Arabidopsis thaliana: one gene and its partners. The protein of the gene in region 1 interacts with the protein of each later gene in a pairwise test. Each region holds a gene or a part of one and is shown in the gene's direction. Other genes may lie near its edges.

Region 1 (12,318 bases):
TGGATTGTACGAAACATTAACTCATCAAACACACTATCAAATTCCTTCTGGTCTTCTTTTCTTATTTCGTTTACATTGAAGAAATCATTAGACGGCTCCAAGCCAAGTAGCCCGGAGAAGGATTTGTTAGAGTAACGAACAAGGCAAAGGGTTTCTTCACCAGACCATGAGAAACCGTCCGTCTGGTTTAGACAGATCTGTAGTAAACCCTCTGCTGTGTTCTTAATACAGTTGGAGCAAACATCAGGTTCAGCACCTGGAGCGCACATCCCCATGGCGTAGACTCTGTCTGTACCAAGCCCGAACGAACCATTGAAGTAGCCGTTCTGAGCCGTGACGTTAGAGGCGAAGGTAGAGAGGAGGAGACGACGGTTGTTGTCATAAGTACTATTGGGTTTGAAACTACCAGCAGTGTTGTCACAAGTTTGTTGTGCAGAAACAGAAATGACCCTGAAGCTTAAAATGAAGAAGAAGAAACAGAGGATTATTTCACAACTCGTCTTTGCCATTTTCTTTTTGTTTCTTTAGAAAAATGTGTGACTGGTGTTGTTGTTGGTTACTACTAGTGGTTCTTATCATTAATATGGCCCATAACTTCTGAATTTTCTACTCGAACGACGGAATGACCCATCCTCATTAACCAGACATTGACTACTTTGGATTTTAAGGGGAAGACGTAGTTGGATTCTCTAAGTCAATATTTATTATTACGGTTTTACCCTTATAAAAGAATATAAAGTCAACATTGGCCAAAGCTTATTTTTCTTTTTTGATAAAGGGTTTAGATTGGCCTAACTTTCAACGAGGACTAACACTAATGATCGGTCCTACAATTACTATAAATTATAATAGTCAGCACTCGAGCTATTGTAGACATGCTTGACTAATATAGAAACTTCAAATTTGAATCTTCAACCTGAAAAAATGACCCTTTGTAAACTTTTTCATAAACGGACAATAAATAAATGATAGACGTTTGTGGAAACAAGAAAAAACCAAATGCTGAATTTTCAACGAGGATTAACGTCCGTGATTGTTGCTTCATCTACAGAACAAGCAAAAGACTTGCTGTTCGACTGACCCGGGTTCGATCCTGGTCCGTTCCTAAAGAAAAATCCAGGAGGCAGAGGCACAGGCAGAGTGATTGAGCTGTTTGTGAGCATTTGGTGAATCGTAGACATTGTTGGTCGATCTGCAGGATTTTCTTGAACACATAACAGTCCAATATGAATGTATCTAATGACTTCCTCGCTTGTGAAATCTTGGTTGATAAAGGGATCTAAGAGCTCATGCAATGATTTGTTCTCCCAAAGTTTCCAGACCTGTAGAATATATACACATTCAGAACTATGATCAGTGTTTTAACTTTTAAGAGAGTCAAATAAAGTTTGGGACTCACATATGTGACTAAATTGTTAACTAAGCCATCCATTTGGTAGAAGCTGCTATTCTTTTTGCCACTAATGATCTCAAGAATCAATACTCCAAAACTATAGACGTCTGATTTCATTGAGAATTGGCCATGTGTCACATACTCAGGAGACATGTAACCACTGAAAAATAGAGGTTATAAACTGGAAGTCAAAAAAGGTCTCTTAAACTAATGATCAAAAATCTCAAAGTCCATTTTAAGATGATACTTACAAGGTTCCAACCACTCTTCCTGTATTGGCAACAGTTTGGTCCACTCCAAAGATCCTTGCCATTCCGAAATCAGCGATTTTTGGATTCATATCCGCATCTAAGAGAATGTTACTCGCTTTGAGGTCACGATGTATGATCTTCAGCCGCGAATCTTGATGAAGATATAAAATCCCTCGAGTAATGCCACCGATGATATTGCGTCGCATTGTCCAGTCCAACTGATTTCTCTTCGTAGGATCTGCATACTTATACATGTATGAGTTAAAACGTACATACCAAAGAGGAAACTGTTTTTAGTTAAATATTACATACCAAAGAGGAAATAATCGAGGCTTTTGTTTGAAACAAACTCATAGACGAGTAACTTCTCTTCTCCTTGTAGCGAAAACCCGAGAAGTCTAACAAGATTTATGTGTTGAAGCTTTGCAACAACAACAACCTCGTTCTTGAACTCTACTTCACCTTGTCCTGATGTTTTCGACAATCTCTTCACCGCAATTTCAGTGCCATTCATGAGCATACCCTTGAAAATACTAACAAATTAAGCACATAGCCTATTCTCCACAAAAGAAGCAAACTAGATGGACAACAAAGATCCTATATATTACCTTGTAAACTTCACCGAATCCACCTTTACCAAGCTTGTTACGTTCGGAAAAGTTGCTTGTCGCCGATTCAATTGTCTTTAAATCAAATTGAACAGATTCCGCTTCATTTGAAACCATAAATAAGCTCGTGAAAAAGTACCACTTCAAAGTATAAGGTCTCATGACCGAAAACAATCAAGGTTTTAACAAACAAACAAAGAAAACTCACTTGGAAGATCCATTTCTTGCTTTTGCTTTCTTCTATTGGAAATAACAAAGCCTAAAACAACCAATATTATTGTAACAACAGTAACAACAACTATTGCTGCGATTTTTCCTCCTGATATTCTACTATCTGCACAAAACACAACTCATCAAAAGCATAAATACACAAAAACCAAAAAAAGAAAAAAAAACAAACAGAAACAAAACAAGACAATTTTCTGAAAATGTTCCAACAAGGACTTTCCATTCTTGGTTATGTTGGCTATAGGAGACGGGGATGTAACTGAAGGCGGCGGTGACTTTGGTAAATTAATCTGATCAATAGCACCAGAGAAGGGATACACTTCCCATCGGAAAAAGCAGTTTGGCCTTGACATAACGCCGCCTTGGTGCCCACGGCAACAATTATCATAGTCGACAACGTTTTGCCGTAAGCAAGTGTTACAATCCTCTGACGAAACGTCTGGTGTGCATTGCATCAACGCTGATATGTTCTTAAAATCCGGCACAAGAGCTATATCGTCTGAGTAGTACTTAGACGAATTGTTCCCCCCTGATGAAGAAGAAGTTATTCCGGCGATCATACTAGAAGTTAAATTATTCCACTCGATATCAAACACAGTCTGATTCGTATTGAGTTCTCCTGTGTTGAATATCGCTCCTAGTGGATCCATGACGAGCAATCCAGAGAAGGGGCGGTTAGCGTAGCGAACAAGGCAAAGGGTTTCTTCACCTGACCAGAAGAAAGCATCTGCCTGGTCCAGACAGCTTTGTAGTAAACTCTCTGATGTGGACCTGATACAGAGAGAGCAAACATCACGCTCAGAACCTGGAGCGCACATCCCGGTGGCAAAGACTTGGTCAGGAGCAATCCCAATCGAACCGATGAAGTAGCCCTCCTGAGCCGTGACGTTAGAAGCTAGAGTAGAGAGGATGAGTCGGCGGTTCTTATCATAAGGACTATTGGGTATGAAAGTCCCAGTAGTATTGTCACAAGTTTGTGCAGAAACAGAAATTGCACTGAAGCTTATGACGAAAAAGACGAAGAAACAGAGGACTAATTCACAACTCTTCGTTGCCATTTTTCTTTTTTCTTGAGATAATGTGTGGGTGGTGTAGTTAGTATTTGACTATTTGTGGTTCTTAGAAATTTAATCATCAGTTTAAAATTTCCATTTGAATAACCATGCACATTAATAAGAAATTGACAACTTTGAAATTTTTGTGCTAGACTTGGACTATGTGAGTCAATCTTTGATATTAGGTTTTGGGGCTTATGAAAGAATATACATGTTAATCATTAGCCTCAATTTCAACGAGAGCTAAAAACCGTGATCGATGCATCATCTACGTACAGAACAAGGAAAAGACCTGCTAGTAGACATGCTTGGAGGATGTGAATGCATTTAATGACTCATATCTAAAAAGTCAAAACACGCAGAAAGAAAAAATTGTCATCTCAAAACACGCAAAAATGATCAAGCTAGATTCGATTTGTTTTCTCCACAAATAAGAAGCATAGTGACTTTAATTTTGTGATGTAAAGTGTAAAATGCTATTTTTCGGTTACGTAAAGACATCTTCGATGGTTACTTCTATATTTTCCTTTATTTTTGAAAAAACTTTATTTTGGAGATGATCATTAGAATACAATTCTTTTAAAATAGAGTTGAAAATGGTTTAAAACTTTTTTTTTTTTAAGAAGCTTAAATTACAGCGTAAATACAATTTAAGACAATATTTGCGGTACTCTCCTCACGCTGATTTTTCATGCTATCATAATTCTGAATTTCTGATGTCCACGAAAAAATAAAAATATAAAAATAATATCTTGTATTAGAAAATTGAGAGAGAGAGAGAAAAGATTCTTTTCTGACAAATAATATCTTATCATATCCAACTAAGTTAGGCTGTTTTTTTTCCTTTAATTCCTGACAAATAGTTTATTGTAATTTAGAAATCGTAACTACTCTCTCTTTGTCTTTTTTTAATAATAGTTATTATTTTGCGCGATACAAGTTTGACATTACAAAATAAAATAAAATAAAACCGGCGTTTACTAAGACTTGTTGGTCTCATAGAAAAAAGGGAAAAATATAGTTCTAGTTTCAAAAATTGAGAGCTACATGATCTGAAACCCAGATCGAGGAAAAGGAACCATGTCTTCTCTGATCTCTTTCATCTTCCTTTTCCTTTTCTCATCCATCACAGCTTCTGCTCAAAATACTTTCTACCTATATCATAATTGTTCAGTCACGACGACTTTCTCAAGTAACAGCACTTACTCCACCAATCTCAAAACCCTTTTGTCCTCTCTCTCTTCCCTTAACGCTTCTTCTTACTCCACCGGATTCCAAACCGCCACGGCGGGACAGGCCCCCGACAGGGTCACCGGACTTTTCCTCTGCCGCGTCGACGTCTCGTCGGAAGTTTGCCGTAGCTGCGTCACCTTTGCCGTAAACGAAACGTTGACTCGGTGTCCAAAAGATAAAGAAGGCGTGTTCTATTACGAGCAGTGTCTGCTCAGATACTCTAACAGGAATATAGTAGCCACTCTAAACACCGATGGAGGAATGTTCATGCAGAGCGCTAGGAATCCTCTATCAGTCAAACAAGATCAGTTCAGAGATTTGGTCTTGACCCCCATGAACTTAGCCGCCGTTGAAGCCGCCAGGAGTTTCAAAAAATGGGCTGTGAGAAAAATTGATTTAAATGCATCCCAGAGTTTGTACGGAATGGTTCGGTGCACTCCTGATCTTAGGGAACAAGACTGCTTAGACTGTCTGAAAATAGGCATCAATCAAGTAACCTATGACAAAATTGGGGGAAGGATTCTTCTGCCGAGCTGTGCTTCAAGATACGATAATTACGCGTTTTACAACGAATCTAATGTTGGAACACCTCAAGATTCATCACCACGTCCTGGTATGAACAGTCCCTTTCCTTTGACTACATATTTCAACACAAGTTTCATACAAGAATTTTGCTTAAAAAATTCTTGCTGTTGTTGATACAGGAAAAGGTGGAAACTCCTCTGTCATAATTATTGCAGTTGTTGTTCCAATCACTGTACTTTTTCTTCTATTAGTAGCTGTTTTTAGTGTCAGGGCTAAAAATAAGAGGACGCTTAATGAGAAGGAACCAGTAGCTGAAGGTAAGCACACCAGTGATAAACATATCTCCTCATAGAATGAATAGTCTGTTGTGCTCTTACTTAATTCAGCTGTTGAAGTTTTCTTTTCCAGATGGGAATGATATTACGACTGCAGGATCACTTCAGTTTGATTTTAAGGCAATTGAGGCAGCAACGAATTGCTTTTTGCCAATTAACAAGCTAGGTCAAGGTGGTTTCGGCGAAGTTTACAAGGTATTATTACCATTGAACAGAGCAATGTACTCTGTTTTTCCCCTGTTTCCAAATCAAATCTCACACACATTACTTCGAAAGTTGAGATGTATGGGATGAGTGCAGCAACCTTGTACTTGCAAAGGTTGTTGCGGAACAAAGAAACTCTAGTCGTTAATTATCATCCTATATTTGTAACAAATACTAACTTCTACTTGTATACTTGCATTTTGAGTACTTCATTTTCATGATTAATCTTACCGACAATTCCTATATACTTATGGTTATCTTAAAATAAATTACTCGTGTAGGGTACATTGAGTAGTGGACTACAAGTTGCGGTGAAGAGACTATCGAAGACATCAGGACAAGGTGAAAAAGAGTTTGAAAACGAAGTTGTTGTTGTTGCAAAGCTCCAACATAGAAATTTGGTAAAGCTGCTTGGTTATTGTTTGGAAGGAGAAGAAAAAATACTTGTCTACGAGTTTGTGCCCAACAAGAGCCTTGATCACTTCCTCTTTGGTCAGTTAAATTTAGTACGTAGCCAAGATATCTTCAAATTGTATGCCATTCTTTGTTCTTAACATTTGAAATACGCTGTACAGACTCTACGATGAAAATGAAGCTAGACTGGACAAGAAGGTACAAGATCATAGGAGGAATTGCTAGAGGAATTCTTTATCTTCATCAAGATTCACGACTCACAATTATACATCGAGACCTCAAAGCAGGGAACATCCTCTTGGATGATGATATGAATCCTAAAATTGCAGATTTTGGAATGGCGAGAATATTTGGGATGGACCAAACAGAAGCCATGACAAGAAGAGTAGTTGGAACTTAGTAAGTATTGCTCTTGCCACTTTTTTTTCATCAATAGACCGTAATACGTTTCAATCAACTAAAAAAAATAAGAATTATGGCAGTGGATACATGTCTCCCGAGTATGCGATGTACGGCCAATTCTCCATGAAATCAGATGTGTACAGTTTTGGCGTCTTAGTACTTGAGATTATAAGCGGCATGAAGAATAGTAGTCTCTATCAAATGGATGAAAGTGTTGGCAACTTGGTTACATATGTGAGTATAAAGCCTTAAAACTTCTAATTTCTTTTTGCTTTATTTAAAAACGTGACCAAAGTCTAAATTATTAAAATGTTCAATAGACTTGGAGACTATGGAGCAATGGGTCGCCATCAGAGCTTGTAGATCCGTCATTTGGAGATAATTATCAAACAAGCGAAATTACTAGGTGCATCCATATCGCTTTACTATGTGTTCAGGAAGATGCTGAAGATCGTCCAACCATGTCATCGATAGTTCAAATGCTCACTACTAGCTTGATCGCTCTCGCTGAGCCTAGACCACCTGGATTTTTCTTCCGAAGCAAGCAGGAACAAGCAGGTCCATCTATTGATTCATCTACGCATTGTTCAGTCGACGAAGCTTCCATTACTCGTGTAACTCCTCGTTGAAGACAAAACTATTCGTTAATCTAAACATTTGTGATATATGATTTTAGACTATTAAGATCGACAGTGAACAAAAATTCATGTAAGTTAAACTGGTTTTATTGTTTATTTTCTTTATAAATTCTTTAATTAACAAGTATTCATTTCAGTGGTCAAAGCATCAACAATAGAACAACAACTGAACAAGGAATATGAGCTAGAAAAGTCACTGGAGGACGATTAAGAATCTTGACGGTCGTCCTCAAACTACTCATCCAAGAAGCGATCTACACCCATCTATAAAATAGTGATTCTTTAAACTTCCCTTGAGATCTCGTTTGTTACTTGTTTGATTTCGTACATCAATAATGATCAAGCTAGATTTGATTTTTCTCCACAAATAAGAAGCACATTGAGTTAAATTTTATGTTGTAAACTTAAAATGCTATTTTTCAGTTCTGTAAGAATTTCTTTGGGAGAAGCTTCAATTATAACGTAAAGACAAGACTATTTTTGAACTTTGAAGTACTCTCCTCACGCTGATTTTTCATGCTCTCATAAATGATAAATATGACAACTCCACGAAAAAAATATGTATATAGGATTAGCAAATTTAGAGAGAAAAAGAGAGAAAATTAAACTTGGAAATGTGTAAATCAATGAGTTTTGACGAGGAATTAAAGTTTTTTTAAAAAGAGCAAATTACTGACAAATAATTTATCGTTATACAGAAATCGTTAACTCTTTTCTTTTGGTAAGGCTATAAATAGTAACTTAAACTTCTCTCTTTGTTTGAAAGAACTAGCTATTGTTTTGACATTACAAACTAAAATTAAATAAAACCGGCGTTTACCATGACTTTCTTTGATTGACTTATAGCCGTCAGAAGAGTATGAACCATCCTCAATTTCGCGTTAATATACATACAGAGATTCATGATCTAAAACTCCAAATCAAGGAAAAGGAAGCATGTCTTCTCTGATCTGTTTCATTTTCCTTTTCCTTTTCTCATTCATCACTAGCTTCACAGCTTCTGCTCAAAATCCTTTTTACCTATATCATAATTGTTCTATCACGACAACTTACTCAAGTAACAGCACTTACTCCACCAATCTCAAAACCCTTTTGTCCTCTCTCTCTTCTCGTAACGCCTCTTACTCCACCGGATTCCAAAACGCCACTGCGGGACAAGCCCCCGACATGGTCACCGGACTTTTCCTCTGCCGCGGAAACGTCTCACCTGAAGTTTGCCGTAGCTGCATCGCCTTGTCTGTTAACGAATCGTTAAGTCGGTGTCCAAATGAGAGAGAAGCCGTGTTCTATTACGAGCAGTGTATGCTCAGATACTCTAACCGGAATATACTATCCACTCTAAACACCGATGGAGGAGTGTTCATGCAGAACGCTAGGAATCCTATATCAGTCAAACAAGATCGGTTCAGAGATTTGGTCTTGAACCCCATGAACTTAGCTGCCATTGAAGCCGCGAGGAGTATCAAAAGATTCGCTGTGACAAAATTTGATTTAAATGCATTACAGAGTTTGTACGGAATGGTTCAGTGCACTCCTGACCTTACGGAACAAGACTGCTTAGACTGCCTACAACAAAGCATCAATCAAGTAACCTATGACAAAATTGGGGGAAGAACTTTTTTGCCGAGCTGTACGTCAAGATACGATAATTACGAGTTTTACAACGAATTCAACGTTGGTACACCTCAAGATTCATCACCACGACCTGGTCTGAACAGTCGCTTTCCTTTGACTACATATTTTCAACACAACTTTCATATAAGAATTTTGCTAACACAAAGTTGTTATTATGATACAGGAAAAGGCGGAAACTCCTCTGTCATAGTTATTGCTGTTGTTGTTCCAATCACTGTCCTTTTTCTTCTATTCGTAGCTTTTTTTAGTGTCCGCCGCGCTAAGAGAAAAAAGACGATTGGAGCGATACCGTTGTTTAAAGTAAAGAGAAAAGAGACGGAAGTCACGGAACCACCTGCTGAAAGTAGAATACTCTTATAATGAATAGTCTCTGATGTATTCTTCTTATAATGAATTAAACTGTTTAAGTTGTAGCTACAGATGGGGATGATATTACGACTGCAGGCTCACTTCAGTTTGATTTTAAGGCAATTGTGGCAGCAACGGATATCTTTTTGCCGATTAACAAGCTTGGTCAAGGTGGTTTCGGCGAAGTTTACAAGGTATTATTATTGCACAAGGCTATTACTGTAGCTATTTATCTACAAGTAGAAATTGAATAATATACACTAAGATAAAGTAGTGAGTTTTGAATGTTGGAAACGTTCTAACATGTTTTTCCCCTGTTTCCAAAGTACTCTGTTTTTCCCCTGTTTTCAAATCCAATTTTAAAGAGTTGCGGAACAAAACAAACTCTAGTCCTTAATTAATAATTATTATTATTCATTTCTAAATTTTTACATAATTGCATTTGAGTACTTCTTCATTTGTATGATTAATCTCATACTTATGGTTATCTAAAATAAATTACTCGTGTAGGGTACATTTCCTAGTGGAGTACAAGTTGCGGTGAAGAGACTATCGAAGAATTCAGGACAAGGTGAAAAAGAGTTTGAAAACGAAGTTGTTGTTGTTGCAAAGCTCCAACATAGAAATTTAGTAAAACTGCTTGGTTATTGTTTGGAAGGAGAAGAAAAGATACTTGTCTACGAGTTTGTACCAAACAAAAGCCTCGATTACTTTCTTTTTGGTCTGTTAAATTCGATACTTAGCCTAAGATTCTTCAAATTGCATGCCATTCTTTGTTTTTAACATTTTAAAAACGCATGTGCAGACCCTACGATGCAAGGGCAGCTAGACTGGTCAAGACGGTACAAGATCATTGGAGGAATTGCTAGAGGAATTCTTTATCTTCATCAAGATTCACGACTCACAATTATACACCGGGACCTCAAAGCGGGCAACATCCTCTTGGACGCTGATATGAACCCAAAAGTTGCAGATTTTGGAATGGCGAGGATTTTTGGGATGGACCAAACAGAAGCCAATACGAGAAGAGTTGTGGGAACCTAGTAAGTTTTTCTCTTAAAATGTATTGCCTCTCTATAGACTGTACTATGCTTCTATGGACTCAACATTTTTAGTATTGTGGCAGTGGTTATATGGCTCCCGAGTATGCTATGTACGGCAAGTTCTCCATGAAATCAGATGTGTATAGTTTTGGGGTCTTGGTTCTTGAGATTGTAAGCGGCATGAAGAACAGTAGCCTCGATCAAATGGATGGTAGCATTAGCAACTTGGTTACATATGTGAGTATATAAAGCTTTAAAACTTCTAATGTTTTTTTGCTTTATTCAAACAATGACCAAAGCCTAAGTTATTAAAATGTTGAACAGACTTGGAGACTATGGAGCAATGGGTCGCCATCAGAGCTTGTGGATCCGTCATTTGGAGATAATTATCAAACAAGCGAAATTACTAGGTGCATCCATATCGCTTTACTATGTGTTCAAGAAGATGCTAATGATCGTCCAACTATGTCTGCAATCGTCCAAATGCTCACTACTAGCTCGATCGCTCTCGCCGTGCCTAGACCACCTGGGTTTTTCTTACGAAGCAAGCAGGAACAAGCAGAAAGAGCATGTCCATCTATGGATACATCTGACCTCTTTTCAATCGACGAAGCTTCCATTACTAGTGTAGCTCCTCGTTAAAGACAAAACTATTCAAAATTTTAAACATCTGTAATATATGAGTTTAGACTTTTTGTCCAGAAAATAAGAAAATGATAGTCGGATTTGAAGTTTGGTTCCCTTTAACAAGGACTCATCTAAGTGATCGAGGCATCATCAATACGTACAATAAAGGAATAAATCTACTTGCCACGGGATCAAGAGAAATTACTAAGGAAGAATAAGAAGCTGAAACTAAGCTTAAGCTTGTTCGAATTGTTTCAAGACTTACTTTCTTAAAGAATTCTCAAAATAAGGTCGTTTAGATTTTCAAAGAAAATTCTGGCTTAAAGTACTAAAGTTAACACCAAACTTAAATAAATAAAAGTAACTAATACCAAATTCAATGTATTTTGAAAGAGAGAGAATAACATATTTTTAGACTTATGAAAAATATTCATGTTAATCATTAGCCCAATTTTAACGAGGTCTAACACTCGTGATCGATGCATCATCTACCGAACAAGTAAAAGACATGCTAGTAGACGGACCAGGCAGTAATCTCTCGGCTAATGGGTTCGGCTCGGATCTTTCCCTGAAGAAAAATCCAGGTGGTTGAGGCACAGGCAGAGTAATTGAAACATTAGTTAGCATTCGAAATATTGTGGACATGCTTGGACGATCGTCAGGATTTTCTTGAACGCATAATAACCCAATGTGAATGCATCTAATGACTTCATCTTTATCATAATTCTCCCCAATGGCTGGATCTACAAGTTCCAACAACGATCCATTATTCCTAAGCCTCCAAACCTATTTATTCATTTGTCAAGAAACTAATGTTCAAAGTCATGATCACAGTTAAAAGGAGTAAAAAATATTTGTGATTGCATTGGCGTTTTAAAACTTACATGTGTGACCAAGTTGCTTACTGAACCATCTATCTGATGGAAGCTACTATTCTTCTTGCCACCAATAATCTCCAGAATTAATACTCCAAAGCTATACACATCAGATTTCGTTGAGAACTGTCCATTTGCCACATACTCAGGTGGCATGTAACCGCTGCAAAATACACCGCATATCAATTTTAGTTTTATCACCTACTCTCAAAGGGCCATCAAGTTTCATATTATATCTAAATGCCAATTACTTACAATGTGCCAACTACTCTTCCTGTATTTGCTTCGGTTTGATTAACTCTGAAATTCCTAGCCAGACCAAAATCAGCTATTTTTGGATTCATCTCGGCATCTAAGAGAATGTTGCTGGCTTTGAGGTCACGGTGTATGATTGTGAGCCGTGAATCTTGATGAAGATAGAGAATTCCTCGAGTGATTCCCTCGATAATGTTGTGTCGTCTTGGCCAATCCAGTTGAACCCTTTTTATCGGGTCTGCACATTAC
Region 2 (10,209 bases), on another chromosome or scaffold:
GGGAAATAGAGAACAAAGATATAGTGATGTGGTACACCGTTGGATTCCACCATGTCCCATGCCAAGAAGATTTTCCGACGATGCCTACTATGTTTGGCGGCTTTGAACTTCGGCCAACCAACTTTTTCGAGCAAAATCCTGTTCTCAAGGCTAAACCTTTCAATCTCACCACCATTCCAAAGTGTACTACGAAGAACGAATAATAACCAGCTCATCATTCGATGAATGGCATTCATGATTTGATCTTTATGAGGAATTGTAAAGAGATTCCAAGAGATAATCATTATTCATGTGTATCCATAAAAATCAGATAATATGAATTAATAAAAGAAAGAAATTGATTTTTCGATCTTTTTCTTATAACTCATGAATGCTGGTTACGTTCGTTGTTCTTCATAATTTCAGAAGCATGATATATATATGAGAAAATTGACTAATAGGACTACACTTTTAAGTTTTGAACATAGAAATATTTGTGGTAATAAAAAGTAAAGCAAAATCAGTATCGTAATCTCTCTTGCGTTCATTTTCGACATGCACGTAATCAAATGTCCGCAAGTTATTTTATATAAAAGAAAAAACTAACAAAATTATACGGGCAAGTTCTATGTAAAGGCCACTCTTCGAAGATGTTCATACCTTACATGGACCCGAGTGGTGATTGGAATTTCATTACCTACCTTGATTGAAGCTGTGATTAGTCTGCATGTCCCCTTAGATTATTTAGCAAGTGCAGTTTTTAATGGATGGAAAATTTATTATAGGTCAAGAGCAATGTGGGATATAGGTTTTGACCCTTATGCATAATTCGGCCCAAACAAAGATTGGCTGAGTTAACATGCTACTTACACAGGAATTTGGCCCAACTTAACAACACTCGTGTCCAGCGGAAAAACAGTTTGACCCACAATCTTGGTTCGGTCCGAAGAGAAGGGCAAAAAGTAACCATGTAAAAGGAGACAAAATGAACCCTATGTTAAGCTCATAGCCTATATATAAGTAGCCAAAAATATTATTTGTAACAATATCAGACCATAAGTACCGAAAGAATTAAAGAGAGAATTGCTGCCTAGCCTAGACTATAGTTTTTTTTTTTTTTTCCGGTACTGCATGTTGTTTTGCTGATCGGTAGATTTTTTTTTTTTACTCTTTTCGGTTATTCAATTCCAACTTAAACCAGATCCCATTGAACAAACACAAGAGTAAACCGAAATCTCCAAAAAGGGATTATAACCCGGAATTGCACAAGAGGAAAAATATGGAATCACTATACTGTACATTTAACCTCCTCGGCTCTGGTCAACAAAATGAACCATATACCGGCCCAGTAGATTCGGCCCACACAGATACATGTTTTCATTTACTCCAAAGTTCAAAGGCAACCCGCACCAATACATATGTATTGATGCATTGTGCATGTATAATATCCCAAATTTTACTCCAAAGCAACATACATTTTGTCAAACATAAATCACTTCTATTATATTTGCATCAATAGAGCAAGACTTATAGTTTAGTAATTTGTATAGCAACGTCGTTTAGACACACGGAAATATCGAACTGGTAGCAAGAGAAGATATCATTTGAGATTTCGTAGATTATGTGTTAGGTAGGTAGGGTAAGACATAAGTCAAAGAACTACCATATCATATTATATGTGTAAGTTCGTGTAGTGAATTATGGCCCAAGTGAATTATTACATATAGCTATGCTTGTCCAGAGAAAATTAAAACAGTATATAACATGGGTCTACATGTCCAAAGAAAATTATTACTGTATATAATATGGCTCTTTTCTCCATAACAAACTATTACAGATTAAACTATATCACCATACGTTATATCCCTCTGATACTAATAGTTTGATGTTTTGTGGTTTTCACACATATTAAGAATTCAATCATTGTTTAATCAATTTAACTTTGTTTTTCATGTTAAATATTTTTAGTAATTATCAACCAGTAGTTGTGTAAGAAAGTTCATGATTTCTAATAATTGTATCTTGAAGTTTACAATTTACAAATATAAATCAATAAAAATAAAGAAAAATAGAAGAAAATCAATCTTTGTAGAACAAAGGAAATATAAATATTAGTTTCCTAATTATTCTTTTCGTCGAATGGTTTAATAGAGGTCGCTTCTTTGATTTCTACTTAAACGTCTATTTCTCACGTGCAAAAAGAATATATATTAATTTAATACCATCAAGGCATTTTTTTGCCTATAAAAATTTGAAGTTAAACATAAACCAAATCCATTAAAGCAAACAATAATACCTCACAAAGAACAATATGGCTCCACTTCACTTCACCATTCTCATCCTTTTCTCTTTCGTTATCGTAGTCTCATCCTCAAGCTTTACTCCACCGCGTCACCCATTTGATCCCTTAACCGAGACCGAACTCAAACTCGTCCGAACCATCATCAACAAGTCGTACCCCGTTGGTCCGAATCATAAGTTCACTTTCCAATACGTTGGTCTCAACGAACCCAACAAGTCTCTAGTCTTGTCTTGGTACTCATCACCGAATCATACCATCAAACCACCACCACGCCAAGCGTTCGTCATTGCTCGAGACAACGGAAAGACCAGAGAGATAGTCCTTGACTTTTCCTCTCGTGCCATCGTCTCGGACAAAATTCACGTAGGAAATGGTTACCCTATGCTCTCAAACGACGAGCAAGAAGCATCCACCGAGCTTGTTGTCAAGTTCAAGCCGTTTATTGACTCGGTCGCGAAACGTGGCTTAAACGTTTCGGAGATCGTGTTCACGACGTCAACGATTGGATGGTACGGTGAGACTAAGGCCGAGGCGGAGCGAGTTATTAGATTGATGCCGTTTTATCTTGACGGCACCGTTAATATGTATCTTAGACCTATTGAAGGAATGACGATAATCGTTAATCTTGATGAGATGAAGGTATCGGAGTTTAAGGACAGGTCAGTGGTTACTATGCCCATAGCTAACGGAACGGAGTACCGTATCTCGAAGCTTAACCCACCCTTTGGACCGACGCTTCATAACGCCGTCCTTTTGCAGCCGGATGGTCCGGGCTTCAAGGTCGATGGACACATCGTGAGGTAAATGATTAACAAACCCAAAAAATGACTAATATTTATGGCTATATCTCTTCCTTTGGCTCCATACGAATTATAGATCAGATTTTGCAGACAACATGCTATGCATGCTATATATGGAAATTATATTTTTAAAGTTTATCAGTGGCAAATAGCCAAATGGCATTTTTTCCTTTGGCTCCTTACGCATTATAGATCAGATTTTGCAGACAGCAATTATGCATGCTATATATAGAAATTATATTTTAAAAGTTTGTCAGTGCAAATGGCCGAATAGTAGTAACAGTGGTTTGTGTCTTTGTGAGGTAAAATGATTAACAATTATAGGTTGCTAAAGTAATGATTTGCTATGGATTTCTTATTGAATCATGAATCAAGGTTTAACATGCTTATATAGAGAGAGATAGAACTAAAGAATTGGAAAAGATAATGATAATGGAAACTAAACATATCTCTCATATTATGAGAATATTCTAAACCGCCGAATATAGGTCTCTCTGTCTCTCTATTTTCTATTAGCTCCATACGCCTGATATATGTAGATCAAATTTTGCTAAATCTGATAATTAAATCTATAAACTGTGTCGGTGTAAATAGTTCTCAAAACCTGATATATTTTCTTTTTTGCTGTTTTACGAAAATATTCTCTCAAGTGAAAGAAATCTCAAAAGTCGTCCTCACCAACCCACTTTTATTCAGCCTATACATTTCTTGAGTTTAGTCTATCCAGGACACATATGGGATGGATATCTTAAATTTCAAGAATTAGGAGAAACAATTACCTGGATCTGGATTAATTAATTTAATATACTCTCAACTTTTGAAATAAAGTTTATGTTTGGTGATAGTTTAAAGTATCACTGTACTTATAACTAGATAAGGCCCGCCTATTTAGGCGGGTGTATCCGAAATTTTCAAATATTCGAATGGGTCTAAACTTGAAAACCCGAAAAACTCGAACCCGAACCCGAATAGGTATCCAAACATATCTCAAATATAAGTATAAGTATAACTAATATATACTTATACATAGAAAATATTAGGATTTTTTTGATATTTTAGTTATTTTTGTGTATTTTTAGATATATTCGAGCAAAACTACTCGTGTTGTTTTGGGAGTTTTTGAAATTTTCAAGTAATTTAATAGATTTGCACACACAATTTGATATTTCAATATATAAATAAACTCGAACCCGAACCCAAACCGAACCCGACCCGAAATCTTAAATTACCCGAACGGATCCTAAACTTCTAAACTCGAAAACCCAAACCCGAAATACCCGACCCGAATACCCAAACGCCTAGGGCTAATAATTAATAGAAAAACAGAAATCCACAAAAATATTTAGAAACCAAACATTGTTGAAAATATATTTCTATATATGCCGTAATCTTGTAAGTTAATTTTAACATCATGCAAATATTAAATGAGTTAAAATTAATAAATGAAAATAATTGAAAAGTTAAATCCTATAAGCTAAGCTATTTTTCTCAAAATGTTCTATTTTCACTTATGATTACATGAGTTAAAGACAAATTTGTTATTTTCCTTTTATTGAATAAATGTTAATTGTTTATAAATATATAGACATATAAATTAGTATATGTAAATTTGTTTACTTTTTAAGATTTTCTATTCTTTTTAGAAAATAAAAAAGTTAAATTTTAAATGACACATGTAAACATCTGATCGTTTGACTTGACACATGGCACGATCCTATGAGTTAGCAAATTTGAAAACCATACTTTATATAATAAGATAACTCTTAAACATATAGTTTTTCTAAAATATATAATTAAAATTAAATCCGAACTAAATCTAGATATCTTAATCTTAAAATTAAATTATCCAGATTTGAAACTCCACCTACCATAAATATTTTAAAAACTAAATCTCAAATCTTGTTTTGCCTACCCCTAATATCAGTAGTGTTTACTAGTAAGCAAAAGCAAAGCCACCAATATTGCTTCACCAACAAAATTTTAACCCAGTTTGCCACTATTATTATAAGTAATCTACTAGTCTCTCATTTTTCATGTGTATGCTTATTCCGTTAATCCTTCATCTTTAAAAATACAAAAACAGAACAACTGTTGGTTTGCTTTTGCTACTTTCATTATAACCATCATATTCTTGAAGTTCGGTGTGTCGAGGACCCATGCACAATAAGTCTGTCCCAGTCTTTTCTATTTTGAAATATATATGTATCATATGTGTGGTTCTAATATTTTCGTGGATACAAAATATTATTCCTCAGATCCCTACACAGATACTTTAGGTTTCAAAATTTGGCATCATATTCTTGTTTATTCATTTATTCACACTCAAAGGTTTTCGTAATACTTTCACGGTTTTATAATATAAGACTTATTTTATCACTAAAATTAATTAAACAGACACTATTTCAATCTATGATGGGTATGGGGTCCTATTTTTGTATTTTCCAATAATGGCATTTTAACGTTTTATAAAAAATCTTATCTTTGGAATCGTTTTGTCTCGGTAAAATCTACAATGCGTTCATTGTATATATATTGCTAAAGAAACATGCATGCAAATTAATACCTATTATATCTGAATTTTTGGAAAGTAAACATGTATATACCACTTACTAATTTCATACATATGGTGATGAGTAGGTGGGCAAATTGGGAATTTCACATATCGTTCGATGTTCGAGCTGGCATCGTCATATCTCTCGCATCCCTTTTCGACACGGACGTGAACAAATACCGGCAAGTCCTATATAAAGGTCACTTATCGGAAATGTTCATACCTTACATGGACCCAAGTGATGATTGGTATTTCATTACTTATCTTGATTGTGGCGATTTTGGCTGCGGTCAATGCGCCGTATCTCTTCAACCGTACACTGATTGTCCAGCGGGTGCAGTTTTTATGGATGGTATTTTTGCTGGTCAAGATGGAACTCCCGCAAAAATCCCAAAAGTTATGTGCATTTTTGAAAAATATGCTGGAGATATCATGTGGCGACATACAGAAGCTGAAATTCCAAACTTAGAAGTAAGAAAACATATAGTTGTTGTTATGTTATGACTTATGAACAATCACTTATATAAAATACATGATTTGTATTTGCATATATAATGATGCAGATTACGGAGGTTAGACCGGACGTAAGTCTTGTAGCCCGGATTGTGACGACCGTGGGAAACTATGACTACATAGTTGATTATGAGTTCAAGCCTAGTGGTTCCATCAAAATGGGGGTAAAACCGTCTCTTTTCAACTTTGTCTTTAATATAGTATATACATTTTCATTTTTAATAATATGATATAAGCAGCAACATGAATCACGTGAAATCGTGAATCATGAATCATGATTAAACGATGACAAAAAGAATTCAGATTAATGATAAGGACTAATGACAGAAAATCAAATCTTGGTTGGACAACCATATTCTCAACTTTGCTTTGTTAATTAGATATTGGTCTGGCCATTTGAATCATTCAATTTGATTTGGCTGTTTCATATATATATATATTTTTTTTTTTGGGTTCATTCGATGTTAAATTATCTAAACCAACTAGAATCAAATTTGGTTTGGCTCGGTTTTGATAAATTTCGGTTGGTTTGATTTATATATTTTTTTAAAAATCAAATTACATACAATTTTGAATAAAGTTAAATTATGTTTTAGTGTATATTTTTACTAAAGTTGGTTTATTCGATTCGGTTTTCGTTTGTTTTATATAGATGAGAAGAAATTATCAATATTGATAAAAAGATAAATTATTGTCAATTTAGTTTTTGTTCGATCGGTTCTAAATCTAATGATACCAATTTAATATGTGCAGGTCGGCTTAACCGGTGTTTTAGAAGTGAAACCGGTAGAATATATTCACACATCCGAAATCAAACTAGGGGAAGACATACACGGGACAATTGTCGCCGACAACACCGTCGGTGTTAACCACGACCATTTCGTGACATTCCGTCTTCATCTTGACATCGACGGTACCGAAAATTCCTTTGTTCGTAACGAACTTGTGACCACGAGGTCTCCAAAATCTGTTAACACACCGAGAAAAACCTATTGGACAACGAAGCCAAAGACGGCCAAGACCGAGGCAGAGGCTCGGGTGAAACTAGGTTTGAAGGCGGAGGAGTTAGTTGTGGTTAACCCTAACCGAAAGACGAAGCATGGCAATGAGGTTGGATACCGTTTACTTCATGGATCCGCTGCAGGCCCACTCCTGGCCCAAGATGATTTCCCGCAGATTCGAGCTGCATTCACCAACTATAACGTGTGGATCACGCCGTATAACAGGTCAGAGGTTTGGGCAGGTGGTTTGTACGCTGACAGGAGCCAAGGCGACGATACGTTGGCAGTGTGGTCTCAAAGGTACTTTATATTTCTGATAAAATTTGACTATATTTCGTCCGTTGCATGATTAGAATAATTAATCGTATTATCAATGCTATAAGTTGGAGATTTGTAGAATTAACATATAAGTATATGACAGGAATAGAAAAATAGAGAAGGAAGATATAGTGATGTGGTACACCGTCGGTTTCCACCATGTTCCTAGCCAGGAAGATTACCCGACGATGCCTACTTTATCCGGTGGCTTTGAGCTCCGACCGACCAACTTTTTCGAGCGAAACCCTGTCCTCAAGACCAAACCCGTCAAAGTTACCACCGCTCGAAAGTGCACTCCTAAAAACGATTAATAAACAGCTTAATCATATCATTGATGAATTTGTTCTACTTGATGATGGACTGTAACGATTCGAGAAATAATGATGTGGTTTTAAATAAGTTGGTTTTGTTTGTATAATCATCATGTCTTTGTTGATCAATTAATTTTTCGTTTTCTCTATTTTCGCGTGATTAAAACTCGAGTGCATTCATAATGTGGTTATAAAAAAACAAGTGAGATTCTAGTTAACGAAATTCAACAACTAAAAGTGAATACTTCCCCCCCCCCCCCCCCCCCCCCCCCACAAATTTCAAGTATGTTTTACATCTATGCATGTTTCAGTTTATAGAGATTCTTGATTTCTAAACTTGAATTTCTATTGTTATGTTCAATTTGTTCATTCTTTTGTTTCTAGTCTCCACTCAAATTTTTCATATTACTACAATTGTTTTTATTATAGAAAAAGAATCGTTACGTGTTGTATTAATTACGGAAAACAAATTAGCATTCATTCTTTTGAGAATACGACATCATAAAGTTTTACCGTTTCGGTGAAAATAAATAATTAATCACTACTTAAAAGAATAAAAATAATTATGCAACAATTTTTCTATTTTCTTCCAAATTAATATGGTGTTAAATGATATGGTTATAATCACAAATAGAGAAAAAGAAAAACAAATACTTGATTAACACAAAAGCAAAGTATAGAACCCAACAACCCAACCATAAGAACAAGGAACAAATCCACTCTTTACAAACATATATACGTAAGCAAACACAAATAGTTATTCTCTGTAATCGTGGAGTAGGTCTCAAGCAATCTCGTCTTCCCTCTAAAGGGATTTAAGAACAAATCAATGGAAATTCAAAAACAAGATAACCGGGATGGGCGACCCAAATCTTTTCTCTTTTTCATGTTCATCTTTCTCTTTGGTCTCGCGGCGTTCTTCCTATGCCTTTCGGCCGAGTTTCAAAAGGCTAAGGTAAATAAATTTTCAAGTGACTTGCTGCTCAAGTTATGCATTTTACGTTCTATAAGATAACATGATTCGGGGTTGAGGCTTTGCTAAGAGCTCAGGTTTTCTTAAAGGGGAAAGATCTGAAATGGGATGGAGAATCGTGTTATTTACCAGAAAATCGTGCTTTCGGGCTAGGAATTGCTGCTTTGGTCTGTGTTTCCGTTGCTCAGATCGTCGGAAACGTTGTGATCTGTAGAGGTTTCACGAAAACGGACAAAACCAGAACGACTATATTTTGTATAATTCTTCTGTTGTTTTCTTGGTAAGAAGAAGATGAGTTTACTAACAAAAAACAAATAAGTTTGAAATAGCTTGTAATTTGGTGATCTATAGTGTTGTCACCGGATTAAATTTGCAAGTACATAATTATATAATACATGAATTTATTGCAGGGTTAATTTTGCCGTTGCGGTTACGTTGATAAGCGTTGGTGCAAGCATGAATAGAGAGCAGATATACGGCAAAGGGTGGCTAAACCGTGAGTGTTACCTTGTGAAAGACGGTGTGTTCGCAGCGTCTGGCTTTCTCTCCGTTACGACGATGGCCGCTATTCTCGGAGCGTTTGCGTTTAAAGTCAAACCATCATTACAGGTCGAGAATCATGACAAACGTCACACTCAAAATGTGTAGTAGTTTGAAAATTAAGTAGAAATTTTATCAAATGGAAATGCATGCAAAATAGCAAAATCTTTACAATCATATGGATATATTCAAGTCAAAGAATCATATAATTAAAAATATATAGAAGACTATATAGATCTGCAATTAGTTCATTATATGCTGTTATTATTATATACAAATACGAACGCAATTTATAATGGCATGATACCGTTTGCATTTAACATTTTAATCCGTATATCAAAGTGTATAATTGCAAATTCTATTTTATCATTTTTTGTTTTGAAAATGATGGGTTTTTTTTAAATAATCAAATAGGTTCTAAAGTTGAAAATCCGCGTTTAGAAATAAACAGCGTTTTCAGTTTTGAGGCCTGCTGAAACGTGTTTGGCGAGGATAGTGAGATGAAGAGAGATTGATGGTGATAGTGTTGCTAGTTGATGGAGATTGTTCATCAAAGTAATTCTCAGAAAACTGATTAAAGGTAAAAACGACGTCACGCCAAACTCTTCGTGTTTAAGAAACAACATCGTTAGTTAGGCCAAATCCATTTCAGCGTAATGTAGAAACATGTTCAAGCTATAAGCAACCTAGCTATAGTACATTAACCAGTTTGTCCATTAAAAAAAGCTATAGTACAACCAGTATATGATAACAAAGCCACAATATTTAATCAAGCAAGTAATGTTTCTTGAGCCATACGCAACCTAGATATAGTACACCCAGTCATTCATTATGCATTTCAGCGATTTGGTTTGCTCACACGATACATTCAATAATTATTGTCATTCATTATGCATTGGTGATTAATTACCCGAAAGTTGA
Region 3 (10,480 bases), on another chromosome or scaffold:
CAACAAATAGACTGACGATGAATTGCCCTTTACAAAACCATCTCCATTTGGATATACCTTCAATACCCTATATCATTAACATTACTTATTAACACATTGACGTAAAGATACCGTAGTGTTTGTGTATATATCTATATGTTATGGAGAGAAGAGAGAGATTCACCAGCTACTTCCTCCAGAAGAAAAAAGGGCGGATGTGTAAGAGTCACTATAGAGAGTTGAAAATCTGTTGAGTTTCCATGTGTAAATGGGATCTTTGATGTTTTCTTCAAAGGAGAAAACTTCCCATTCATTCAAGGTTTGAGCAACGAAGATGTCAATTCCAAACACACACTGTTCTCCATCGAAAATGTATCCGGTTGTCAGCGTTGAGAACACCGATGTGGGTTGAAATTACGGCACTCCGTATTCAGGTTTGAATAAATGAAACCTCCTTGCCTCAGTTTGTACAACAACATTCATTTATAATAGATGTTCAGTTAAGTACTGGACCCAAAAGATAGTTACCATGCATGATACTTTATTTTTTCTGATTGATCAGAACGTTTGGTTAATAGTAAATGTGACATAGCATATCATTATTGTCCAAACATAGCAATAAACTGGAAATGAAGATCTTTTTTTTTTTGACAGCCTCGAAATGAAAATCTGCTAGCACTGAAACAACACTTTTCTAACCGGGTGGGGGGCAATAGGTTACATTACATACCTTGGTAGGTATAGTATTTGTCGTAGATTCTGTTGTAGACGAAGAACTTGACCTCTGCGTACACATCCTTTGGATTGGAGATGAGAGTTGAGTTATCGATTCTTGCGTAAAGCGAAACGTATCCAGTAGCGCCATCTTGTTTGTTTGCCTGGCTGCTCTATTCCGACCATTTATATGTGAATTTTTGTTATTTTTTGCCTAAGTGATTGAATAAAGCAACAATTATATATATATATATATATATATAAAAGATTTTCTTTGATGAAGATCATGGTTTGCTTTCCTTAATTAGCCAGCAGGTTTGATCCACGTTTGCCGACTAATTTTCTTCTTCCGTGACTGACATCTAACATCTATGGTGGATCCTCCTTGTTTAGTTGTAATTCGAGATGGGTTTTGTTTGTATAGATCCAACACGTCGTCAATATAGAAAATTACACCTGAAGAAACATTAAACTTAAATATCAAAGAGTATTTTTTTGTAACATAACAACTAGTTTTAAGTTCTCATTACGTATATAACTAAAAGATGTGCATGGAACAAATAAGATTTAAATGTAAATTTTTTTGCAGTCTAAACTTAAATTTAACAATTCTTATGTTGATCATCTTCAAATTAAAATGTTTTTCTTGTTTTGAAGTTCTGAAAAATTGATTAATTATTAACATTTTATGAAAAATAGTTGATGAGGTGATATTGTATATCTAGGATTATATATAAATAAATCTAGTCATCATTAGTAATTCTCTAATTTATTTGGCACAAAATTTACAAAAACGTTCAGGTGGCACTCTCTAGTTGGCGAAATGCTTAATTACTTTGGTAATATATATATGATACGTAAATGTATTTTGTAGTGAGTGTATTATATGTCCACGTACACAAAATTAAGTGACATTGTTGAAAAGGCTATCTTTTATAAAGGAAATGATCATGAATTTGAATGGCATATATACCAAGATATATGGAACTCTATTATCATATCTGCTAGGTGAAATGAGCAAACGAAAATCTACCAATTTGAATAAACTCATATCTCTAGTCATTCTACCAAAACAAAGTATAAAAAGCTCCACCATCATTAACATATTACAAAAAAAAAACTAAACAATTTTTTGGGTTTTTTAATTTAATTATAGAAAAAATGGAATCTAAGACGATGAAGATTATAATTTTTCTTATGGTTTTTGTTTTTGCAATGACTTGGTCTCCTTCGAGTGCTCAACCAACGGATCCGGAGGGGTGTTTTAAGGCGTTTAAAAGCACATCAAGAGGATGTCTCGAAAGCATAAAAGGAATTTTACATGGACATGTCCATGGGATCAAGAAAGAATGTTGTGAAACCGTTAGTATAGTTTCTGATATGTGTTGGCCAATAATTTTCCCAAGCATGCCTTACATTCGTTTTGTATTAAAGGGTATTTGTACTATTAAATACTCTTTGCATTGAGGCATTTGAGGATTCGTTATGTTTAATAAGTGAGAATAAAAGACCATCTATGATAATAAAATATGAACAATTCTTACATTCACCTCTTCTCTAATAACCAATTAAAAGTTGACATGTCATCTATTTAAAATAACAAATAAAATAAATCATTAATAATTCAAAACTGAATTAATTGTAAAGCCCACTAAGTCTCTTCCTAAATCCAAACTAACGAAAATAAAACTAAACCCTAATTCTCACTTTATAAGGCATTAACTCTAACCTTATTTATAGTTTTTCTCTATTCTTCTTCCCACACATACAAAAAAGATTAGTTTTATCGGAGGAAGGATATCATTATCATTGTTTCCACACAATTTGAATATAAGTCAAAATACTTATTTATATGTGCATCAAAATTTCTTAGTTTTTTTTTTTATTTTGGTGATTTTGTTGTACTAAAGTTCAAATAATGGCATCTGTGGAAAGAAAATACTAAGGATAAATAAGGTAAATATTAATTTAATTAATTTATTTAAATTCTAAAAAGGAAAATACATTATTAATTAAGAAAATGACCAATCAAAATAAACATATAAGATTTTGATATCTAACTTAGCATATTAATTTATTATTAATCATATATTTTTCTTTTCATCTTTACATGATTCTATTTTTGTGAAACAAATAAATCTTCATATAAAGAAAAGCTAGATTTTTTTCTGCATATGTCATTATTTGAATTTTGAAAAACGAATCGAAATTGTTCAATCTATGATAGAAAACTTGTAATGGGTCAAAAATTCAGACTTGAGTAATATATTTGTTTTAAACAAAAATAAATTTAACAAAAACTCCGACTGAGTAACGAGTTATAATTTGAATATTTTATATACTGCAATAAACTTTTTAATAATTTACTTTAGAACATTTAAAGATAGTCTTACTTTACTTGATATTTTTAAATAATATCATTATTAAAACGTTTCTTAGGACTTCTTACTACACGTTGGTCCTTGATCTTTGACATTGGTGACGGCTCCTTTCTCTCTCCAATCCAAGGAATCTGGTGCTTGAGTCATATTCTCGTAGAAGAACGGTTTGGAGTCGAGTATTTTCTTGTGATCACTCATATCAAAACATGTGTGAGCGTTGACAAACTCGACGTCGGTCAAGTTTGCAAACTTGTTGAGCTTGAGCTTGTACGGTTTTCTCTCCTTGTTGGTTTTGACAATATATTCTGCATTTTTTTTAAATACATCGAAACTACTTTCTGTTTGGTGGATGGGCACAAGATAGTGGCCCATCCACCTCTTGTACAACTTTTCCAGACCCTCATCACTTTTTAGCTTTGTCTCATTGTATTTGTTCCATGAGCTTTTAGCTCTAGAATGAGAAGAGTAAACATAAGAATAATTAAGATATGCTTAGTCATTTTGTTTGATTTCTTCTTTTTGATTGTTTTTAGTGCGAGAGTTAAGTAGACAAACGAACACATTCATATATACTTGGTGGATCAAACTTTTTTCTTAATTGCACTGAATGTGTGCATGTGATCGTTAACACAAAAATAGACAATTATATAGTTAATGCTTTAACCTTAAATTAGTTTTTGTCTCAACGAAATTATTAGCCTATCATCTTTTTACGTACCAGTTAAGTCCAAAGAGGTATGAGAAATGAGATGAACATGCGATCATTAACTGTTTCGATGTATTTGAAGATTTTTATGATGAAACAATGTTTTCTCGTCTTTGAAAGCAATATCTTCAAAGTCTTACGCGGCAATTCAAATAAGTCTGTTATTACTTTGTTGCATCGAATCATGTGATCGTTAGTTTAAAGGATTATCACTAGGTTCACTACTTTATCATTTTCTTCATTGTAGTTTATATGACATTTAATTTTCTGTCAATTAATATGATTGAATAAAACCATTTTAATCTGTTTCTTCTAATTTTTATGAGAATCATAAATTCTTTCTTTTTAGACAGTTACTATTATTAAGAAAGAAAAAAACATGTTCTAGGGGGATGGAGATTAGACATAAATATTTTGACCTTAACGAAGTCTTTGTAAATAAATATTATACAATCAGTAATTATCTTTTAAAGGCATATTGTCTATTTATTTTATGTCTAGCTTGTATATTGCTTTGTGGTTCTATAGATTATGTGTGCAGGGATGATCTTTTTCAATTTTCATTGAGGAACTTATTGCTCACACCTTCTTTTATAGATTTAAAAGACGATTAGGAGCATAGTGAGATTTATATGGTGCCTTAGGAGGAATTTTAAAGTCATTCATTTGATAATGGTTTTCAGTTATTAGTATGACCCAAAGAAATGTTCCGTTTCAACCAAATGTCACTTAATTAGGAGGTTTAGGCCAATACCAATTAATGTCGTTGATGTTTCTTACAAAATTGTAAGTTTCTTGTTGACTTTTTGAACATGCACAAAAATGATTAAAATTGTGAAGATCCACTCTGTATTAAATGTTTAAAATTACATCGAAAAATGTGAAAAGGGCCCATCTTTTATACTATTTGGCAAAGTTTTGATTAATCATAAGGTTGTAGCTTTGAACGTTTATTTGTGAAAATAAAACGAAACAAAGAAACTATATCAACCAGTAATTATCTTTTTTTCTTTTTAATATGATCAGTAATTATCTTTTAATTTCATCACACGAAAAACTTAATAATGTTTGATAAAAATCTCACAAACAACAAAGAACGGAACTTTTATTCGATCGAATCATTTTCATTATTGCCATCACACGTTCACAAGACAACAAAGAACAACTCTCCAAGTTACACACACACATACACATTTGACATTTCATTCACTACTCTCACACGATCCAAGAGAGAGTCTTCCGGATCTCAGACCCGACCCGACCGACACTTTCCCTAAGCGAAACTGGACAGTTATTCCGAACAGCACTGAGCTCATACGGCGATGTATCGGACGCAAGCCATTGCTCAACATCAAAGCTTTGGTACGAGCACTTTGCATGAACTCCGGCTGTCGTGACTTCCACGTAGTTAACATACCAACCGTGGTGGTCACCGGAGCCGTCAGAGGTCAGATTTAATGAACAGACTGGGCTCGGAAGACATGGTGCTTTCCCACTGAAAATGTCGAGATTACCCCTCTCGTAGTAGTTGTAACCTGGTCCCATTAAACCACCCCATGCTTCTAGGTTTCGGATCCCGATGTAGTCTCCGTATTTGTCGTAGACTCTAGCGCTTATGATCGAATCTGTACCGGCTTTGAAGGTTGATCCGGTTCTAAGGAAGAATGTGTAGACACAATCTGCTTCATCGTCCTGTGAAATCAAGAAAGTCATTTTTTTAAATGGGAAGAAACAGAAGTTTGTAGTCTAATAGTTTAAACTAATGTCATTGATGTTGTGTCATTATATACATATTCAAATCTGGTTAATGTGTGTGTCTAGTTCTAGACAAAATCATATATGAGAGGAAGCAAGTCAGATTTGGAAAACTTACGGCTAATGCGACAGCGGAGACGGTGGCGATGACGAGGAGGAGTGAGAGGAAGAGGACGTCACGGCGAGGCATCATCGGTGATATGGATGTATAAGAAAGAGAGATCTAGTCTATGGAAATATTAATAGAAATGTTGAAAATGCTAAAGTATATGAGAGTTTAGATTTCAATGATTTAATTATCGTCTGTTTTGGGAGTTGCGTATGAAGATGACGTGGTCGTTTTTGGTCCGTTGGAATGAGTAAGAAATAAGAATAAAAATACTTAAGGATCCTATAAGCACGTCGTTAACTCGGCGGACAGGTCGGCATGGGTTGTCAGATTTCGAAAAAAATTGCATATTTTTTTTTGTCACAAACGCAAATCTTCGTGAGATACAATACAAATGCACTTCATTTTTCGCCAATTAGAATGTAATGTAACAGTTTCCAGTGTAATGCTCGCAACATAACATGTTTCACGTGGATTGGGGCCGGGGAAGAATTAGAGAAACATTAATTTTTGTTTTTGCTTTTTGAAAGAAAACTTTCGACCATATGAAGGTAAGATTTCCTTTAATTTCCTTGATATTTTCATGTACATATGTTTGATTTATAAATGAAAATTAAGTGATTGTGTGTTTTTCAAAGAAAGAAAAATGAAATAAATTTTGGATAGTATTGTCAGCGAAGCAGCAACAAGGCCCACAAACATAATTTTGAATGGCCGGTTGCTGCGGATTAATGTGTGTAAATACATACATTCCGTTCATGTCAATCCCAACGTATATTCGTATATATGCATTTTTCGCTTTCTAAAGAAACAGAAGTTGCAAGAGAATTGAAATAAAAAACACTTTAATGAAAATTTGGTCCAGAAATACCACCCAAAAATGGTTTTAGTTCGAAACGTACAAAATAAAATAAGACTCGTTCATGATAAACATTACCAATATGTGCTAACCTTTTTAAGATTTTACTCATGTATGTCTTATATGCATATATAATTTATGTTAGAAAATCGATATCTTGTAAACAAAAAGTAACAACTTCGTTGATCATCATCAAATGCCATAATACTATATTATATGAGTTCTGTAATATAGTTTTCTAAATAACAGAAAAAGGGAAATTTAAGGTGAGCTGGCTAACTCTAAATAGCAAAATCTTCTCAAAACCAACCAAAAGTTTGAGTCATGCAACAACAACCACTTACTTTTCCCATGCAAACCCTAATTTTCGCATCCTCTCTTAATTCTCTCTCTTTCGTCTTCTCTGTAGACCAATCTCCACCACACATCTCGTAACTCCCACCTTTCTCCGATGGAGGGGCCACGGCGTCCTCCTTCCGCCACCGCCCCTGACTCTGACGATGACAAACCCGATGATCCTCCGTCCGTTTGGCACCGTCCAACCTCTAGCCTCCCCGCATTGCCATCTTTAGATCCTCCATCGCACGGTTCACACCATTGGCGTAATCATTCTCTTAATCTGTCTCCACTCCCAACGACATCTTCTCCGCCTCTTCCTCCTCCGGATTCAATCCCTGAGTTAGAGACGTACGTTGTCCAAGTCCCGAGAGATCAAGTCTATTGGACCCCTCCTCCGGAACATGCAAAATACGTCGAGAAACGCAGCAAGAACCCGGAGAAAAACAAAAAGAAAGGGTGTTCTAAACGTCTTTTGTGGTTCTTCATTATCTTGGTCATTTTCGGATTCTTACTCGGTGCAATCATTCTCATCCTCCATTTCGCTTTCAACCCCACTCTTCCTGTTTTCGCGGTCGAGAGATTGACCGTAAATCCTAGTAATTTTGAGGTCACATTAAGAGCCGAGAATCCAACGTCTAACATGGGAGTACGCTACATGATGGAAAAGAACGGGGTCGTTTCCTTAACGTACAAGAATAAGAGCCTGGGGAGCGGGAAATTTCCGGGGTTGTCCCAGGCCGCATCTGGATCCGACAAGGTCAATGTGAAGCTTAATGGGTCGACCAAGAACGCAGTTGTACAACCTCGTGGATCGAAGCAACCGGTTGTTCTGATGCTGAATATGGAGCTGAAGGCTGAGTATGAAGCAGGGCCGGTCAAACGGAACAAGGAAGTGGTGGTGACTTGTGATGTTAAGGTTAAGGGACTATTAGATGCGAAGAAGGTTGAGATTGTGTCGGAGAATTGTGAGAGTGAGTTCAAGAACTGACACTCGCTCTATATATATTTTATATATAACATGATTGTGTCGTTAGAGTTAACAATGTGCTTAATTAATTCATACTTTCTATGTAATGTTCAATTGTTCATTTTTTTTCCCTAATGTCTTTGTTTTTACTCTATATTGTTGAGCGACAAAAGAAAACGTGAACAAGAAGAACACAATAGAGTGAGCGTCTTTTTTTTTTTTTAAATGTACCTTTGCTTTTACAAATAAATTTAGTTTAGCCCAGATTACAAATAAACAGACTAGTCAGAACTTCTTAAAAACAGAAGATATAATTGGGCCTAAATGCAAAAGTAACATTTCACCTCCTAAGATTTTTCCTAGACCAAGTGTGTACAAGCAATACTCCGAAAACTTGATGGGATCATTCCCTCTTTTTTTTTTCTTTTTTTTTTTATCATTCTCTTTTTGATAAGATCATTCTCATTTCTCAGTGTTGTTAGTTTTATTATAGAAATGTAACTTACATTTTGGGAATAAGTGCCGTCTGTACATTTCTATTAGTTTAACTTTCTCTTTTTCTGTTGGAATGTAAAATTTAGCTTCAACAAAGATATTTATATTTTAATTAATAGAGAATTTCAAAAGTTTGAAAGAAAAGATAGACTTTTAAAAGAATGAAGATTGAAAAGAAACAAATAGACTTTTAGAAGAATGGAAGTTGAAAAGAAACAATCTTGATCAGTACTTCTTCCTTCGAGCCAACATCTAATGAGGTCGTGAAGACAAGTCATATTAAAATATAGGTGCGAGGAGACCCGATCTGTTATTTTGTCGATCACTAGAGCTGACGGTTTACTGTTTCGTACGGTAAAAATTGAATATAGTCATTACACTATCGCTCACAACAAACATAAGAGATAGAAGCTGAGAATTTTGATAGTGCCATTGACGAGGTGGGGTTGCATATGCATCCAATCAGGAGTGAGATGCGAGCTTAGTAGAGGACCACCAACTTAAGGCCACGTTTTGAAGGAGAAAGGACTCATAAAAATATATGATCTTTGGCTTCGTCGAATTCGCCATAGTCCATAGAGGTACTTGTCTGCGAATGCAACTACCCGTTTAGAGGCGAATGTGTTAATAAACGGAAATGCTTTGCGAGAATCTGGCCTCACCATCTTATTGTTCAATAAGTGGAATGTATTAATAAGAAAATACAAATTATGAAAGTTTATACAAAAATATTTTTATATTTCACCGCAGATTTCAAAATGCAATGTTCTTTTTTTTTTGTGCGCTAGTTATTTTAAATATACTTGATTATTTTAAAAAATCGAATATACATAAAGAATCATTTATTCTATACCCCTACCATCTACCAAGAAAAGGTTGAGTGGTCATTTTCGCGAAACCACAGTGGAGAAACAATAATTGTGTATAAAGATATTCCACTAGAAAGTGAAACAAATAGGTCCAATTATTTATTAAGGGCACCTTTGGACCATTTTCACAGTCCTAATTATGACAACAATATTGTTATCTTCTAGCAAGAATATAAAAAGACAAATTTTATAGTTTATTATAAAATGAATTCTTCATTTCGGGTAAAGGTTGGATATATAAAATTGTATAGAAACCAGTAATAATAGTTAGGATATCAAAGAACTATTTGATGTATGATGTTTTGCAAGACACTATATTCATTTATTCTATTTTTTTTTGTGAGCGTACCAAACAAATCAAATTAAATACTATTTTATGTATGATGTTTTGCAAGAGACTATATCATTCTAAACTAACTAGCTAATATTGAATTTCACACATTTTGGGATGAGCGCAGTATCCAACTCTATTTAATGCTTTAAAATTTAAACATTTGCAATCTTGATGTAAAATACAAACATTCTTTTATCATATAATTCCACATGGTCGGTTGGTTGGAACGCACGCCTAGGCCTCACTCTTATTTGTGTTTCTCTCTTTTCCTTCACACCACTACATTCGAAAGTTCCGATACAAAAGAAAATTTCCTTTTTTGTTACTTTAAATTTTGGTGTCTAAAAAAGTTGACTATCCAATCAAAAGACATTTAGAGTTTGCCAAAAGATTTTTGTTTTTAGTCCACCTTTTAGACATGTCACAGAAAATTATTATTCAAGTGAAGGGATTGGTGATCAATGTTTTTGCTCCCTATAATTTGGGCATCTAAGTCACATGCATCCCCATGTTACCAAGTAGTTTGGAACATCTCACAGATCAACATATACATTCATTTACTGAGTCAATACATTTAAAATTACATATAGTTTTAGGCTTTCTATGGCACTAGATAATTGAGTCAAATCAAGTTTTGTTAGAACCGTCTGATTTACTTGAATCTTCTCTCTCTATATATATAAACAAATATAGAAAAATAAAGAACGGAAGAGACATTAGACCATCCTTATTGCAAGTCTCTTACTATAAATCTTAGGTATAATATATAATCAAAATAATATGTGAATAGTTTAGAAAAAGTCCTTAGCTAAGAGATAAAAGAAGGTTTAAGAACTTCAAACCATTACAAAAACTCTTAGCTATAATTTTTTCAATAATACAATTCATAAAATAGTTAAGAGATAAAATTAAGAGTCTACCATTAAGGTTGCTCTTAGGTGATTGGTTTCTCATTGAATACATTAAGGATCCT

The links.
Region 2: the proteins of CRK19 (region 1) and AT1G31720 interact in a protein complementation assay, tested with the Arabidopsis thaliana proteins (one large-scale study listed by BioGRID).
Region 3: the proteins of CRK19 (region 1) and AT2G22180 interact in a protein complementation assay, tested with the Arabidopsis thaliana proteins (one large-scale study listed by BioGRID).

What each region holds. Positions count from the first base shown.
Region 1 is NC_003075.7:12,166,518-12,178,835, forward strand, and holds CRK19 (cysteine-rich RLK (RECEPTOR-like protein kinase) 19), read left to right. Parts: upstream 1-4,499; 5' UTR 4,500-4,615; coding exon 4,616-5,381; intron 5,382-5,472; coding exon 5,473-5,610; intron 5,611-5,701; coding exon 5,702-5,823; intron 5,824-6,113; coding exon 6,114-6,324; intron 6,325-6,407; coding exon 6,408-6,645; intron 6,646-6,728; coding exon 6,729-6,882; intron 6,883-6,968; coding exon 6,969-7,262; coding exon of another isoform or gene 7,263-7,277; exon of another isoform or gene 7,278-7,423; coding exon 7,424-7,444; coding exon of another isoform or gene 7,445-7,528; 3' UTR 7,529-7,660; downstream 7,661-12,318. Other genes in the region: EMB1290 (cysteine-rich receptor-like protein kinase 17), read right to left, coding at 1-509; CRK18 (cysteine-rich RLK (RECEPTOR-like protein kinase) 18), read right to left, coding at 1,011-1,322, 1,400-1,553, 1,645-1,882, 1,957-2,167, 2,253-2,353, 2,461-2,586, 2,701-3,538; AT4G23271 (uncharacterized protein), read right to left, coding at 7,427-7,528; CRK20 (cysteine-rich RLK (RECEPTOR-like protein kinase) 20), read left to right, coding at 8,223-8,994, 9,085-9,264, 9,336-9,463, 9,780-9,990, 10,075-10,312, 10,396-10,549, 10,637-10,954; CRK21 (cysteine-rich RLK (RECEPTOR-like protein kinase) 21), read right to left, coding at 11,393-11,725, 11,824-11,977, 12,070-12,307.
Region 2 is NC_003070.9:11,347,565-11,357,773, forward strand, and holds AT1G31720 (chitin synthase, putative (DUF1218)), read left to right. Parts: upstream 1-8,537; 5' UTR 8,538-8,604; coding exon 8,605-8,730; intron 8,731-8,807; coding exon 8,808-9,028; intron 9,029-9,158; coding exon 9,159-9,396; 3' UTR 9,397-9,517; downstream 9,518-10,209. Other genes in the region: AT1G31690 (Copper amine oxidase family protein), read left to right, coding at 1-203; AT1G31710 (Copper amine oxidase family protein), read left to right, coding at 2,291-3,081, 5,719-6,103, 6,196-6,309, 6,899-7,446, 7,568-7,775. UniProt on the Arabidopsis thaliana protein: Together with MWL2, contributes to secondary cell wall biology, specifically lignin biosynthesis.
Region 3 is NC_003071.7:9,422,015-9,432,494, forward strand, and holds AT2G22180 (hydroxyproline-rich glycoprotein family protein), read left to right. Parts: upstream 1-6,728; 5' UTR 6,729-6,954; coding exon 6,955-7,830; 3' UTR 7,831-8,127; downstream 8,128-10,480. Other genes in the region: AT2G22155 (ECA1 gametogenesis family protein), read left to right, coding at 1,855-2,160; AT2G22160 (Cysteine proteinases superfamily protein), read right to left, coding at 3,129-3,446; PLAT2 (Lipase/lipooxygenase, PLAT/LH2 family protein), read right to left, coding at 4,996-5,472, 5,654-5,728.